2 linked regions of the Rattus norvegicus genome follow. The protein of the gene in region 2 purifies or fractionates together with the protein of the main gene of each other region. This does not show direct contact. Links are inferred from orthologs where the notes say so. Each region holds a gene or a part of one and is shown on either strand. Other genes may lie near its edges.

Region 1 (7,502 bases), on a different chromosome or scaffold from region 2:
TGGGATACAGAAGGAGACCCTCTCAAAAAAGCAGAACCAGATGGCCAGATGGTTCAGCAGGTACAGCCACTTACTCAGCCAAGCCTAAGATGATTCCCCAGGATGGTGGAAGAAGAGAATTGACTCTTGGCAGTGGTCCCCCTGCATAGGTGTAACACACAAACACTATTATATATACACAAACAACCAAACTTAAGTAAATGAACAAGTAGAATAAAGTTGTGTGCATAGGACTCCACAATATTGTAGTCATGCACTCTGAAGGCAGAGGAAGGTGGACCTCTATGTGTTTGAGGGCAGCTTGGTCTATAAAATGAGTTTCAGATCAGCCAGAACTACACAAAGAAACCCTTTCTTGAAAAAAACAAATCAAGAAAATGGGTTGGAGAGATGGCTTGACTGTTATGAATGCTAGCTGCTTGTCCAGAATTCAACTCCCCATACCTATATGACGACCTTGAACTCAAGAAATCCTCCTGAGTGCTACTATTAAAGGCTATTGCTTTTTCTTTTTTCTTTTTTTTTCTTTTTTCTTTTTTTTTCAGAGCTGGGGACCGAACCCAGGGCCTGGCGTTTGCTAGGCAAGCGCTCTACCACTGAGCTAAATCCCCAACCCCGGCTATTGCTAAGCATAGAAATTAACCATGAAGAAAATAAAATGAGAGGCTGGAGAGATGGCTCAGCGGTTAAGAGCACTGTCTGTTCTTCCAGAGGTCCTGAGTTCAATTCCCAGCAACCACATGGTGGCTCACAACCACTTATAATGGGATCTGATGCCCTCTTCTGGTGTGTCTGAAGACAGGGACAGTTTACTTATAGATAATAAATAAATCTTAAAGGGGAGAAAAAGAGAAGTGCCAGGTCTGGTGGGTGGTGCGTGCCTGTAATTCTAGTGCTTGAGGAGGTGGAGGCAGCATGAGGAGCTCAAGGCCAGAGCTGTGAGATGAGGCAGCAGTTAAGAGCACTTGTTGTCCAAGAAGGACCAAGATTCAATCCCCAGTATGTACTCACAACTGTATATAATTCTAGCTCCAGGGACCTGACAACTACTTCTGGCCTCTGTAGACACTAGGTACACATAGGTGCACAGATATACTACAGGCAAAACATTAATATCAAAAAAGAAAAAGTTTCAAGGCTTGCCTAGACTACATATAGTCTCAAAATCTGGGGAGAAATCTAAAATAGCAAAGTCAACAGGTAAATTGAATACTGTCCAAGATGTTTTCCTGATTTGATCCATGCAAAACTACTTGCCAGCTTAATCTATACTTGTTCTGATAAAAGGCATACTCTACCACTGAATAAACAGGATAGCAGGTCTGCAGGGCAGGATGATGCACTTAATTCCAGCTCTTGGGCAGCAGACTCAGGTGGATCTCTGTGAGTTTGAGGCTAGCCTGGTCTCCATAGCAAGTTTCAAACTAGCCAGAACTGAATAGTGAGATCCAGGCCAGCCACAGTGAGATCCTATATAAGGGGAGGAAAAAACCAAAATCAACTATTAAGTAATAAAAGACAGTAAGTTGGCATACACGAAACCCTGCACCAGGGAGACACTGATAGGAACAAAACGTTTGAGACCAGTTCAGGCTTCATAAACCCTGCTGAAAAGCACCGAACTAGGAGCCAATGTTGATGGATGACCTTGTTTATTTTGCTTATCTGGTGAGAAGTGAGTCTTCAAAATGGGCTGCTTTCCAATTTGGACCATGAACTCCAAACACGTGCCAGGGAGAGAGTGTATTTGTTCGTGTTCATTGTACTGGTGTAATGAAAAGTTCTCTGTCACATAAAGAATCAAGAAACCAGCCATGCTTTTATTTTCTGGGTGGATGGGTGGGAGAGAACTAGTCTGGAACTCACTGTGTAGACCAAGCTGGCCTGAACTCCAGAAACCCTCCAGCCTCCCGAGCGTTGGAAAAAAATGCCTGGTTCCCCACCTCCCTCCAGCACTCCCTAGAAGTATAACAAATTAAAATTAACAGGTGTCCCGCAGCTCTCAGGAGTACATGTGATTTTCATTACCTGTTTCCCTTCCGTTTCATGTCTGGATTTTTAAGGTTACGACACAAAACGAAAGTTATTTCTCCCGAAGCCACTGTAATACAGTGCGCTAAACTCGGAGCCCGCCCTCCCACTCCACCTGCCGGAGACCACAGCCCTTATACTTGATATCCTTCGTTTCTTGGTTTGACCTAAAACTCACGGTGACCTTGGCGCTTCCCTTCCTCCTCGGTGAGGCGTTCCTGTTTTCCAGTGGCTGGGGTGCAAAGCAGGGATCGTTCCGTCCGCTCCGAATGCGGAGGGGACGATGCTGAGCGATGGTTCCGCATCCTGTTGTGCAGACAAAGACTGGCCACCTCCAGTTCGCCTCTCAGGAGGGCTACAAGAGCGGTGCTTCAACGCAAGGCCCTGGGTTCGGTCCCCAGCTCCGAAAAAAAGAATTAAAAAAAAAAAAAAAAGAGCGGTGCTTCTTCTTGAGTTCCAGCCCCTCGTGGATGCACAGCCAAGGTGTCAGCGTCGCGCATGCCTTGCAGACTCGAGCCCTCGGCGGAGGCGGCAGCTCCCATACGTGCCCTTAGGTCCCAGCAGCGCGCGGGTCACATGGGGACACTCACTGCCCTGCAGATCCGCGCCTGGGGCCTCTGCAGCGGCGACGGCTGCGCCTAGATTCTCCGAGCTACTCGCCGCACGGGTCTCAACGCAGACAACCGCTGCCCTTCTTAGTGTCCCTATGGCCGCTCCAATCCTCTGATTCCTCAAAGCTAGAGGTCCTCATCCGGTGGAGGGTCTTACCATTCCGCAACCCCAAAGCAGTTAGCAGGAAGAGCCGGTGTTCCAGGACTTGGCATGTGAGCTTCCGTTAGGAAGCCCCGCCCCCTAGTCCGGAGTGGGCGTGACCTTCGGATAGCGTCCGTTGCCACGCCCAACCGTCTCCCAACGGCTCTCTGGATCCGGCCTTAGAACCCGGCGGCAGGACCTGATAAGTGCGCATGCGTGCGCGTGCGCAGAATCAATGGGCGGGGCTCACAAGCCGGCCCCTCCCAAACCCGGCGTCTCCACCCGCCCCCATCTCCCAACCTCCTCAGCGTGGCGCCGACGCTGCGTGCGGCGCGGGTTACCCAGAGTGCTCAGCGCGGGGGCAGCTCACTGGAGTTTGGTTCTCGAGGCGGCGGCGGCGGCGGTAGTGGCGGAGGCTTCTCCGTCGGCTCCTCCTCCTCCTTGCTCGGCGGTGGCGGCGGCGGTCCGGGGCCTGAGCTCCGGTCCCCTCCGCTTTCCTCCGTCCTCCGCCATCTCCCCGAGCGCCTCGACCTCCTCTGGCGCCGCGGGGAACATGCGGCTCCGTTCCCGGAGGCCGGCGAGTGACTGACCTGCGTCCCCCCTCCTCAGCCTGCCCGCCCGCCGGCCCGGCCGCTCCCCCCCGCTTCGCCCAGGCAATGACAGCGGCTCCGGCGTCTCCGCAGCAGATGAGGGACCGGCTGCTACAGGCCATCGACTCCCAGAGCAACGTAAGTGACTGCCGCGCGATCGGGGACCGAGGCCGCATGTGTCGGGACCCTCCCCCTCCGACGCGCCCCTGCCAGGGGTTCTCTCCGGGCGGTGATCTGCCCGCCACGGCCGCTGCCATCTCGGTGTCTCGTTCTCCTGGGTCCGGAGGCCGAAGGCAAGGCGGGTACCCCGGCAGCTGAGGGTACCTGAGGCCGAGGCTTCACGCGGCCTGGACTGAGGGATCGTTCGGAGCTTTGATGAGAGCTGGTTCTCCTCGGTTGTCCCAGCCCGGCTGCCCTTGGTGCTCCCCACCGTGCCCTTCTTGCCTCACCCCAACCCCGGGAACTGAGAACCCCCCGGAAAGGTCTCCCTGCCGGGGGACAAGGTAGAAAGCAACTGGTGTCTCCGCGATGACTCGGGTAGCCCGCGTCTCTGGAGTCTTGGCCTTTACTCCCCCTCGGTCTTCTAGCGAATCCCCTTCTTGGATTCGTAGGGAACCCTAGGCCTGTTCTGCCATCAGTCTGTCTTCCTGTGATGCCTGGAGAGTATCCTCTCTTCTGATAGTGGGTCGCTTCCTAGAAAAGACGACTCTGCAGAGAGTGGGACCCTTCCTGTCACCTCTCTTGGCCTAAATGCTCCATTGCGCGTCTGACCAGTAGCTAAAGCCTGGGATTTTAGTACTGAAATACTGCCGATCACAGTAGATTGTTCTCTTATCCCTATCTTCCGGTCCTCTTTCCATCTCTCTTGCTCCACCTGAGGTGCTTTGGACTCTAGGCTGTCAAGATTTAATTGTAAGGGATCACACTTTCCTCTGTCAAGAGTCCTGTGAGCAGTAGGACGCCTTTTTTCTTCCTGTGTGAGTGTAGACTAATTTTACTTGTTCTTGTATTTTTTCCAAAGGTTTGTTGGCAGTGCAGGGGGCGGGTGTCCTTGTTGCTGTCAGGAGTAGGGCCATGGGAAGATGCACAGGCATTCAGATATGAAGTGTTTGCTGGGAAACCAGGAAGTGGCTTTTGAGATCACTTTTTAATATGCCCAGGATGGAAGAAAAAAAATCATCTTGGACCAGGTAACAGAGGTTTGAACCTTTTTGGGTTCCCTTGCCTATGCTTGGCTAGTTACTTGTAGCAATGTGCTGTATTGTGTGTTCAGAATAATTCACATTGTTTGTGTGGTCTTGGTAGAAATAGAGATGTTCTAGTTTCTATGAGAATCTACTTGCCAGATTCAAAATTATTCTCTTCCTAGTCTTTAGGATCACGTCGATAGTAATTTAGTAAATATTGTAGACTTTTTTTTTTTTTTTGTGGTGGAATAGAGACAGGCTAGATAAAAATCTTCTAGAAAACCTTTCTTTTTTGGGGGGCGGGTTTAAGGGTTTTTTGTTTTGTTTTGTTTTTTGCCAGTGATTGGTAATAGCTGACTAATCACATGATTGATATATTAGGATATTAAAAGGTAAAAATAAGTGATAGGAAAACATAGCCTTGATGGCTTTTGCATCTTTGCTGAAGCTATAGTGTATAGTGTAATCTTTTTGATGTTGTTTTTCGAGAAGGGTTCCTCTTCTGTGTAGGTCTGGCTATCCTAGAACTTGCTCTTTGACCATGCTGCTGGCCTCAGAGATTCTCCTGCCTTTTCCTTCTGAGTGCTGGGATTAAATGCTTGCACTATCACTGCTCCTCTCTTCCACATTGTAAATCTTACACCTGTGTAACTCCTTGCTGAGATCTTCTCAGAGATCCTGACTGCTTGCATGTGAGAGTGTTGGGATCAGCAAGTGCTTTGACAGGTAGTCATGATGTTGTAGATCAGGTGGGGTCCAAGTGCTAGGTAAGGGTCTGACTAAAAGACCCTTTGGGGATAGAAGAAGGAAGATAGAGGGCCCAAATTTTAGTTTGTGTCTTTTTTCTGAGACTGTCTCTGGAAGTCACTATGTATGTAAACCAGGGTGTCCTCACAGAACCTGTCTGCTTTTACCTGCTTTAATCCCAAATGCTGGGATTAAAGGTATGTGCCACCATGCTTGGCCTCCAACTTTAGTTTCTTGAATCTTCCCTTGGTCCTAAGTGCTCATTGGCCTGTGAGTAAGTTGCTTGGAGTGTGTATCTCAAAGGGCTGTAGTGATAGGAGACCTTGTTGTGGCTGGAGTTGAGAACTTATCTCTGAGTGAGGAGGGGAGTGTTTCCCTAGATGCAATGTGTCAGTGACTATCCACAAAAACAACTAGGTATATGTTCTAGGGGCTAGCTTTGCAGAATCTCTTTGTAGAATCAGCCTGGAGCACTGTCCTCCATTTCTTGCTGAGGGGTGCCCGGCCATTTGCATTGTCTCTGTGATTGTTCAGGGCCCAGGTAAGAGCCGCATGTTGGTGCAGGGATCTCTGCTCTTGCTCTGATCTGCCCAGTTATGAGCTCCACCACTTGGTAATTGACACATATTTAGGATGTTCATGGAAAAAATACAAAACGGGGACAGAGTTGAAGAGTCAACACTAAAATTAACCCTCTTTAGAGAGAAGTGACAGAGAATGGTGTCATGTAATGCTTACCTTTATGAGTATGCAATTATGGCTAACAAATTTAGCTATTGGCTTAAAAAAATCAGTGCCAGGCAGCTGACCTAAAGTCCACAGTCTCTGAGGTTAGGAACATCTGACTGACCAGCTCCTTGACCAAGGAAGTCTCAGGAAGATAGCCATCCTTGGTCTGTGTTCAAGCCTCAGCAGCAGCAACCACTGACCTGCCAAGTCTGTACTTCAGGAAGGCCCCTCTCTCCAAAAGACAGCTAACGGACTTCGAGAACTGTGGAGGCCTCACGCACCTCAGTGTGTTTGCTCAGCTCAACATGTTGACAGTCTCTGAACTATACTGTACATCTGTTTGTCTTATGAATAAAGGTGAAGGGTATGACTTACTCTTACGCAAAAATCATAGTGAGTTCCCATTTGGCCAGTAACAGGGTTCTTAGTCCTGTGGTGCCCTTGCTGTTTGAAGAAAGTCTGGGCCATGTCTTCCTGAGAGATCAGCTCCTCATATATGTTCCATGTCTTGCCCCCTTTCCTAGAGAAGAGTCCTTCTTTTCTGAATTTTGTTTTCAACTCTTGAGCCTATGATTCAGGAGTTGCCTCTAAGTCCCCATTTTCTCAAGAAGTCCTGTGCTCCAGTCCTGAAGGCCAGCTGTGGAATGGCCTAATGGGAACATTAGTGACTGAGAAAATCACAGGTGGCTTGAGATATGTCTGTGGGGAATGTGAGTGTGACCTTATGGTTAACATATTTCACTTTTAAAGACAGTGGAAAGACAGACAGAACAGTCTCATAGCTAAATAGTGAAATGGTGGTTCAAGATGGGACCTGCCAAAGGCAGCTTTGTAGCCCTGGTTACAGAGCAGTGGGAGGACAGAGAAGGCTTGGTGAAGGAGGACTCAACCACTGCTGGGCTCTGGAACAGATGTCAAGAGCTGCTGTCTTCCTCTCACTCTTCCAGAAGCAGACACCATGGCCATCATTTCCTACTTGGAATCACTTGCCTCTGCTGGCCGGCAAGTTCCTTGCAGCAAAGGGACTGGGACTGGTGGACAGTCCTGGAAGAGTTCTCTCCAGACCCAGGTTCAGCTCTGGAAGGGCTGCAGTGGCCTACATGAGTTGTTCTGGAAGGATTTCTTCAGGAATTTGTGCAGGGTGGATTGTATGAACTTTTTCAGCTGTCTACACCCCTACTTAATTTGCTAAGGAGAGATGTACACCCCTAATTAATTTTCGGGGTACCCTGACAGTGTGTTTTGTTCTTCCCAGTAGCCCCATAAAGGGAGGTGAGATGAAGCCAGTCTCCATTTCTGACAGCATAATGCTGTGGCTAGGAGAGGACAAGATGCTTTTGTTTCTTAGTGATTTCATGTAAGGTGACTAGCCCAGAGTTAGGTACTTCGAGTTAAGTGACAGCACTTATGACATGGAATAGTATCAGGTTATGGTTGAGAAATGAAGACATGACCTTGGACAAAG
Region 2 (6,551 bases):
ACAAAAACAAAACCTGCTTAAGTAACTGCTCCCTGGTGTATAGATAGGAGGCCAGCACAGGGCAGATGTGTTTTCTTGTTTGCTTTTGTCATTTGGGGATTGAACATAGGGTCTGCCCCATGCTAGGTTGGTGCTCTATGCTAAGCTATATTCCAGCTCCACCCCCTACCCCCAACCCCATTTTACAGTTTTTGATCGGTTCGGGAGATGGCTCAGTGGGTAAAACATTTACTGAGGACTTGTGTGTAGATCCCCAGAAGTCGTATAAAAACTGCTGAGTTCGGGGTTGGGGATTTAGCTCAGTGGTAGAGCGCTTACCTAGGAAGCGCAAGGCCCTGGGTTCGGTCCCCAGCTCCGAAAAAAAGAACCAAACAAAAAACAAACAAAAAAAAAAAACTGCTGAGTTCTGCTTCCAGTGTTCCTCCAAGGACATGGGAAGTGGTTACAGGAGGGTCAGCTAGCATGGTTTATCCCCATGGCAAATGAGACCCTAGCCTAAGCAAAGAGAAAAGCCAGGACGACGGCTGAGGTTTTTCTTTATCCTCCTGCCTTAGCCTCCCAGGTTGCTGGATTACTGGTCTTATCTACCAGGCAGGCCAACTTTGTTTGAATGTTGGGAATGGTAGAGCTGAGAGACCCAGAGGCTTATACATGGGAGGAAAATGGTCGGCTATTGAACCATGCCAGAGCTCTTGCAGGGTCCTTAATGGGTGAGCAGACTGAAAACGGCTTCCAAGAGCTAGACCTATAGCTCAGTGGTTGAGGGCTCTGCCTATCATGCTCAAAACCCAAGGTTCAATTCCCAGTAGCACTGGGTCTAGTGGAGCTTGGACTTGCAGAATGATGGATGTGGGCCTGCCTTGATTGTTAGGGGTTAAGTGTCTCCTGACACCCCCTGCCCCCAAGTCAGGGTTCTCTGTGTAGCCCTGGCTGTCCTGGAACTCACTCTGTAGACCAGGCTGGCCTCTGACTCAGAGACCCACCTGCCTCTGCCTCCTAGACGCTGGGATCAAAGGTGGGCACCACCACTGCCAGCTGGTTCTTGTCTTCTTAGTAAGAACTTAGTCAAGAGCTAGTTTAAGGGAACTGTTCGTCAGCGCATACGTTGGGAAGGGCCAGGTACCTTAATTTCTGAGGTAGTGGGAACAGCCCAACTGCAGGTTCAAGAATGTCTGAGCACAAATGGGGACATTGTGATGCTCAGGGCCAGTATCCCAAGGCTGGATGTGGGCTTGAGCTGTTGCCTCTGTCTCTTTCCAGAATCACCATTAACAAGGACACCAAGGTGCCCAACGCTTGCTTGTTCACCATCAACAAAGAAGACCACACTCTGGGGAACATCATTAAATCGTAAGTCTCCCCCCACACTGGGTGAGTACCACACTCTGCCAGTACCACCAGGGCTCTGTAGGCTGAGCACATGTCCTGCAAATGTCTTCCACTCTCCTCTGTGCTCCAGTAAATCAACCTGGCCTCACAGGTCTGTCCACAGAAGGCTGTTCCTGTGTTGGCTTCTGACACAGGGGCTTGTGTAGTGTAGGCTGGCCTCAGACTGTGTAACAGAGGACGACCTGATTGTGGACTCCTTTCCTCCTCGCCACTGCCTTCCAAGTGCTGGGATCCCAGCTGCCTGCTGGCTGGCCTGCGTGTGTGGTGTACAACTGCAGCGAGCCCCAGCAATTGCCTCTTGGTCTTTTGGTTCAGATCAAGTCAGGGAGCTCTAGCAAAGCAGGGTTTCATTTTAGTGGGCATTAAGAGGCAGCATTAATGCCAGCAAGTGTTGGTGTTGTGGAACACACCCTTAGTTCCTGCCTTCGGGAGGCAGAGGCAGGTGGAGCCTATAAAGTTCAAGGCTAGCCTGGTCTACATAGTGAGCTCCAGCACAGCCAAGAGAAACTCTGAAAAAAGATAAAGAGGCCAGCAGAGGCATCTGCGCTGATGGTGGTTGCAACTCTTCTTTAGCCTCCATCTTTTGTCTGAGGCAGGATTTCTCTGTGTAGACCAAGGCTGGACTCAAAGTCAGATCTGCCTGCCTCTGCTCCGAGTGCTGTGTGCAATTAAAGGCGCGCGCCACCGCTGCCGGGCTAGCCTCCAACTTTTTAAAACTTATTTTGTGTTTTTTCCTTATGTGATTGCCAGTGCCCTCTATGGTACTGAATTCCCTCCAACAGCAATTATAGACGGCTCCCATGGGACGTGGGTGCTGGAGACTGAACTTAGATCCTCTGTAAGAGTCGTAAGTTTAAAAAGAGGGAAAAAAAAGCCTTGTTCCTGACTGCTTTGCCTTGTTAACCGGCTATGCTTGTCACCCGTGAAGGCCAGAAGGCATCAGGTCCTCCAGAGCCGGATGCTTGTCAGGTGCCGTGGAGCGAAGGCTCTTCTCTAGCTCAGCCTGCAGCCTAGGAAAGGTCTGTGTATGCGAGTGTCTGAGCTAAAGAGGATGTCGGCAGCCATGAGCCGCTTGCTTAGGCTCTGTACAAGGGCAGTAGGTGCTCCACCGCTGAGCCATCTCTCCAGTCCAGTCTGCCACTCGTGTTTGGGGGTCCTAGGGGGTGGATCACCTGGGACTGGGTGAGAGGTGAGCCACCCACTACGTGGGTCCTGGCAGAGCAGCCAGTACTCTTACCCACTGAGCCATCTCCAGCCCCCACTTCCACAACTCTTCACAAGGTTGGCTGGGCCTGCTTGCTGTACCTAGGGATGGGGCCGTTGGTTTAGGTGAGGCCTGCAGACACGGTCATGGGTTCTCAACTAATGTGGTTCCCAGACAGGGTCCTTCACCCTTGTAGACACAAGGTTCCCATATGGTCTTGGGTCCCTGTAACTTGATTTTCCCCACTCTAGTGCCTGGAGGGACCTCAGGCCTCATGAATGTTAGGCAAGTTACTCTACCATGGCGCTCCATCCCCAGCCGTGTCTTAAGACGGGCTCACTTAGCGGCCTAGGCTGGCCTTGAACTCCCAGTCCTCTGAGCTGCCAGAATGAGGGCCTGCACCACTCACTTATTCCCAACTGCGCGTGGGGGGCCCTTGGTCAGCACGGCTGCCAGGTTTGACCTCCCTCCCTCACTGTGAACTCCGCGTTTCTCAGGCAGCTGTTGAAGGACCCGCAGGTGCTGTTTGCCGGCTACAAAGTCCCTCACCCCTTGGAGCACAAGATCATCATTCGTGTGCAGACCACCCCAGACTACAGCCCCCAGGAGGCTTTCACCAATGCCATCACAGACCTCATCAGTGAGCTCTCCCTCCTGGAGGAGCGATTCCGGGTGAGGAGCAGGGGTTAGGCGGACACTGGTGGGCTGCTGCTGTGGCTGTGCGTTATGCTGTGTCATTTAGTAGTGGAGCTGCCCCAGCACTTAGAATCCCCGTGACATGTATGCTGGGGCGTAGCTTGGTTTCATGTTTACCTAGCACCATCAAGGCCTTGGGTACAATCCCTAGCACCCCGGGGTGGGGTGTGGGGTGGGGGCTGTCCCTGTGCCACTGGCTACTCTGGCTCATAAGGCCCAAGGACTCCAAGCCCTTGTCTAGTAGCCTAGCCATTCTTCCCAGGGTAGGAATGACAGTTTAGTCAGGTGCCCTCAGTGTAAGGTAAGCCACACTTTTTGATGCTTCACCCAATTGGGTGTGTCCCACACGGCTCCATCCCCGGCCCTCCGCAAGCAGATGCCACAGAGCAGGGTGGGTGAAGTCTGCTGAGGTATCTGGAGCCCCTGGTCTGCCTCCTGCTATGTCCTCTGGACCAGAGTCTTGGTGCCCTGCAGTCCCGATACACTAGGGTGATTCCAGCATAGTCACTGCCTTTGTCCTCCATCAAGGTGGCCATCAAGGACAAGCAAGAAGGAATTGAGTAGCAGCTGAAAGAAGCTCAGTGGCTGTAAGGCTGGTGCGTGTATCTGCCCTTCTCCGTCCACCACGATGGCGACAGCCACTCTCAGCTCTCCAGCTGGGCACAGGACACTGTCCCATTCTGTACATAGACTGTTATTTTCCTAATAAAGTACAGCAAAAGAGGGGCTGTGCGGCATGTGGCCTGTCACTGAGACCCAAACCACAGGCTGGGCAGAACCTGGGACTGCTGGGCCTGCCTGAGTTAAGCAAGGTAGGAGCCCCAGTGGAGCCTGTGTGACTGCACTCACTTCCGACAGTAGAATTTAATAAAAAATACTCACTGGTACAAACCCCTCTAGCACTAGGCCCAAGCTAATAAGCCATGTCCTGACACACTGCCTTGGGCGGGCTAGCATGTCTTCCAGATGGACACGATGTTGGAGTCCGTCAGAGCAGTGAGGTAGGTGAAGGCTGCATTGGCCACGACTGTGTTTACCATGGTCTTGGTCACTGGTTGGCCCAATGCTACTGGCTGAGGCCACTTCAGGATCTTAGGAGGGAAAAAGCAAATGCTAGGCTCCTGCCTATCCCACAGCAGCCAAGGGGTAACCAGGGTCTGCAGGGAGCCAACGTCACAGCAGTACCTGTGTTGGGGGCTGCAGAGTTGTTTCAAGTGGAGGTGGCTGCTTCAGTAGGTGTTCAACATCGTAGATCCACACACTGCCTTCCTCGTCTCCACACAGCACGAGGTTTTTGTCTGCCAGGACGAGCGGGAGCCTGAGATGGGGCCGGGCGAGGGCAGGGGCGGGGGCAGGAAGGGAGTGTAACGGGGTGGGCAGGCTCACCAGGACAGGTGCTCAGTGAGAAGTAGGCCAGGCTGGTGGGTGACCACTGCAGCTGGGCCAGGATGACTACAGGCAACACCGACTGGCTGCCCCGGCTTGCCCATGTCTGGCTCCAGCTCCACAGGTAGATGGTGCCCTGTCCACTCCCTTTGGAGGCTGCAGGGAGAGGGGACATGAGCCCAGGCTGACTGTGTGCCCAAGCGGGCTGTCAGTATAACCTCCCTAACAGGCGCCTCAGTACCCTCAGAGCTGGGCCCCAGCCCAGGGGTCCCAGCTACGTTCACTCACCCACCACATCTTCGTTCACAAATGCCAGCCCATCCACTCTTTGTCCCGACACCTCGGAGTCCCCAGAGAAGACGAAATTCACCTCACACACCCTGTAGAAGACACTATCCTTACCCAGGCGCTAACAGCTACCACCTCACCCAAGAAGCTGTGGTCCTGCTTGGGGCTTGGTTTTTGGCCCAGGGAGCTTTAGCTTTGTCTTAAAGGGAGTCACAGGGATGGGAACATAGGGTCAGCAGGGGCTGGACATCCAGGGCTATAGGCCAGGAAGTGCTTTCAGTGCCCCTCCCCCCAGACCAAGGACAGAAGAGCTGTGTGAAGGGCGGGGCTCACTGGTGTTGGTCATTCACTCTACTCAAGCTTTCCCTGCCACAGGTCCCTTCCCTCTATAAACCTTCAAGGCACAAAAGTGGCCAGGCCTCACTGTACAAGAAAAAAAATCCCACCAATCCCCAACACCCAGGAAACACCCATCCCCAACCCTATATAAACCCTGTGTTCTGCCCAGTTCTCTGCTGCTTCTGGCCTCAGCAGAGGCAGCCACCCCCACCCCCTCGAGTTTCCCTCCCAGCTAATCTCTTGTGTGAGGTTTGTGGTGTGGTGTGAATAAGAGATTTGCTGGCAACACCGAGGAGATGGGCATAAAGCAGCAGTAGCTGAGCTCAGGAGAGAGTGGAGGAGAGGAAACTAACCATGGGGAAGATAAAGTAATTTAATGGGTTAAATAAGTTATAAGCTAGTCGGGGAATGAGCCAAAGCTTGAGGCCTAGCCATTTACTAAAGTCTCAGAGTTGTCCTTCCAGGAGGAGAGGTAGAAAAAGGAAAATAATTGTTTTTTACAGAGACAAAAAACAAGAATACGTGACAGCAGCTCAGACCTCAGCAGCCAAAGCAAAAGCCCAGGCTCCCAGGCTCTCTGGCCCCCATAGCCCGAGAACCTCCATGACCCTGCTTCACATGTGATCAGGACGGTCTCTGGGCCCAGGCCTGTCTGAACCCTCATAAACCACCTGGTCCATGTCCAAGGTGCCATCAAGAAGGTTACTGGGGTTTTTACTGCCCCATGTCCCTCATGGTATGAGGACATCAAGCCCAGACCACCCTTCAGCTGACCTCCTTGATCTGGCTATGGATGACTGAAGGGCCCCGAGCTCTCCTGTCCTGACCACCACCATCTTTGACAGGGAGCCTTAGGGGGTCATCACGGTATCAGAGTGATGACCACTCTCCTTCCTTCTGGACACCAAGTTACTTGAATTCTGTCCTTCTTAGGGATAGCTGGCTACTTACACTCTTGGACTCCATTTTGCTCTCTTCTTGACTGCCCCCTACATAAGGCAGCCCTTGGACCCTCATATGAACCCTTGGGGTACCCACTACCAAGCCATTTCGTAGCTCTAACAGGCCTTCCTCCAGGATCCTGCCCTACATTGTTCTGGACTTAACCTGCACCTTTCTCTGTTACTGAAAAGGAGAGAGATTCCCTCAGGGTCCTGGGTCACCAGCTTGGACTTTCCTTTGCACTCACGGCATCCTGATCAAAAAATTAGACCATGCTACCCAAGGATGGGCACCTTGTCTGCAGGCT

Evidence for each region. The genes of interacting proteins can lie anywhere in the genome.
Region 1: the proteins of Polr2j (region 2) and Med26 purify together in Homo sapiens (affinity purification with mass spectrometry; 5 studies listed by BioGRID and IntAct, with this or other methods). This does not show direct contact. The link is inferred for Rattus norvegicus from reciprocal best matches to the Homo sapiens genes POLR2J and MED26.

What each region holds. Positions count from the first base shown.
Region 1 is NC_086034.1:17,330,598-17,338,099, forward strand, and holds the start of Med26 (mediator of RNA polymerase II transcription subunit 26), read left to right. Parts: upstream 1-3,172; 5' UTR 3,173-3,440; coding exon 3,441-3,512; intron 3,513-3,536; exon of another isoform or gene 3,537-7,502. UniProt on the Homo sapiens protein: Component of the Mediator complex, a coactivator involved in the regulated transcription of nearly all RNA polymerase II-dependent genes.
Region 2 is NC_086030.1:26,177,273-26,183,823, reverse strand, and holds the end of Polr2j (DNA-directed RNA polymerase II subunit RPB11-a), read left to right. Parts: intron 1-1,260; coding exon 1,261-1,350; intron 1,351-3,090; coding exon 3,091-3,265; intron 3,266-3,817; coding exon 3,818-3,853; 3' UTR 3,854-4,175; downstream 4,176-6,551. Other genes in the region: Lrwd1 (leucine-rich repeat and WD repeat-containing protein 1), read right to left, coding at 4,240-4,380, 4,475-4,587, 4,676-4,831, 4,964-5,055. UniProt on the Homo sapiens protein: Core component of RNA polymerase II (Pol II), a DNA-dependent RNA polymerase which synthesizes mRNA precursors and many functional non-coding RNAs using the four ribonucleoside triphosphates as substrates.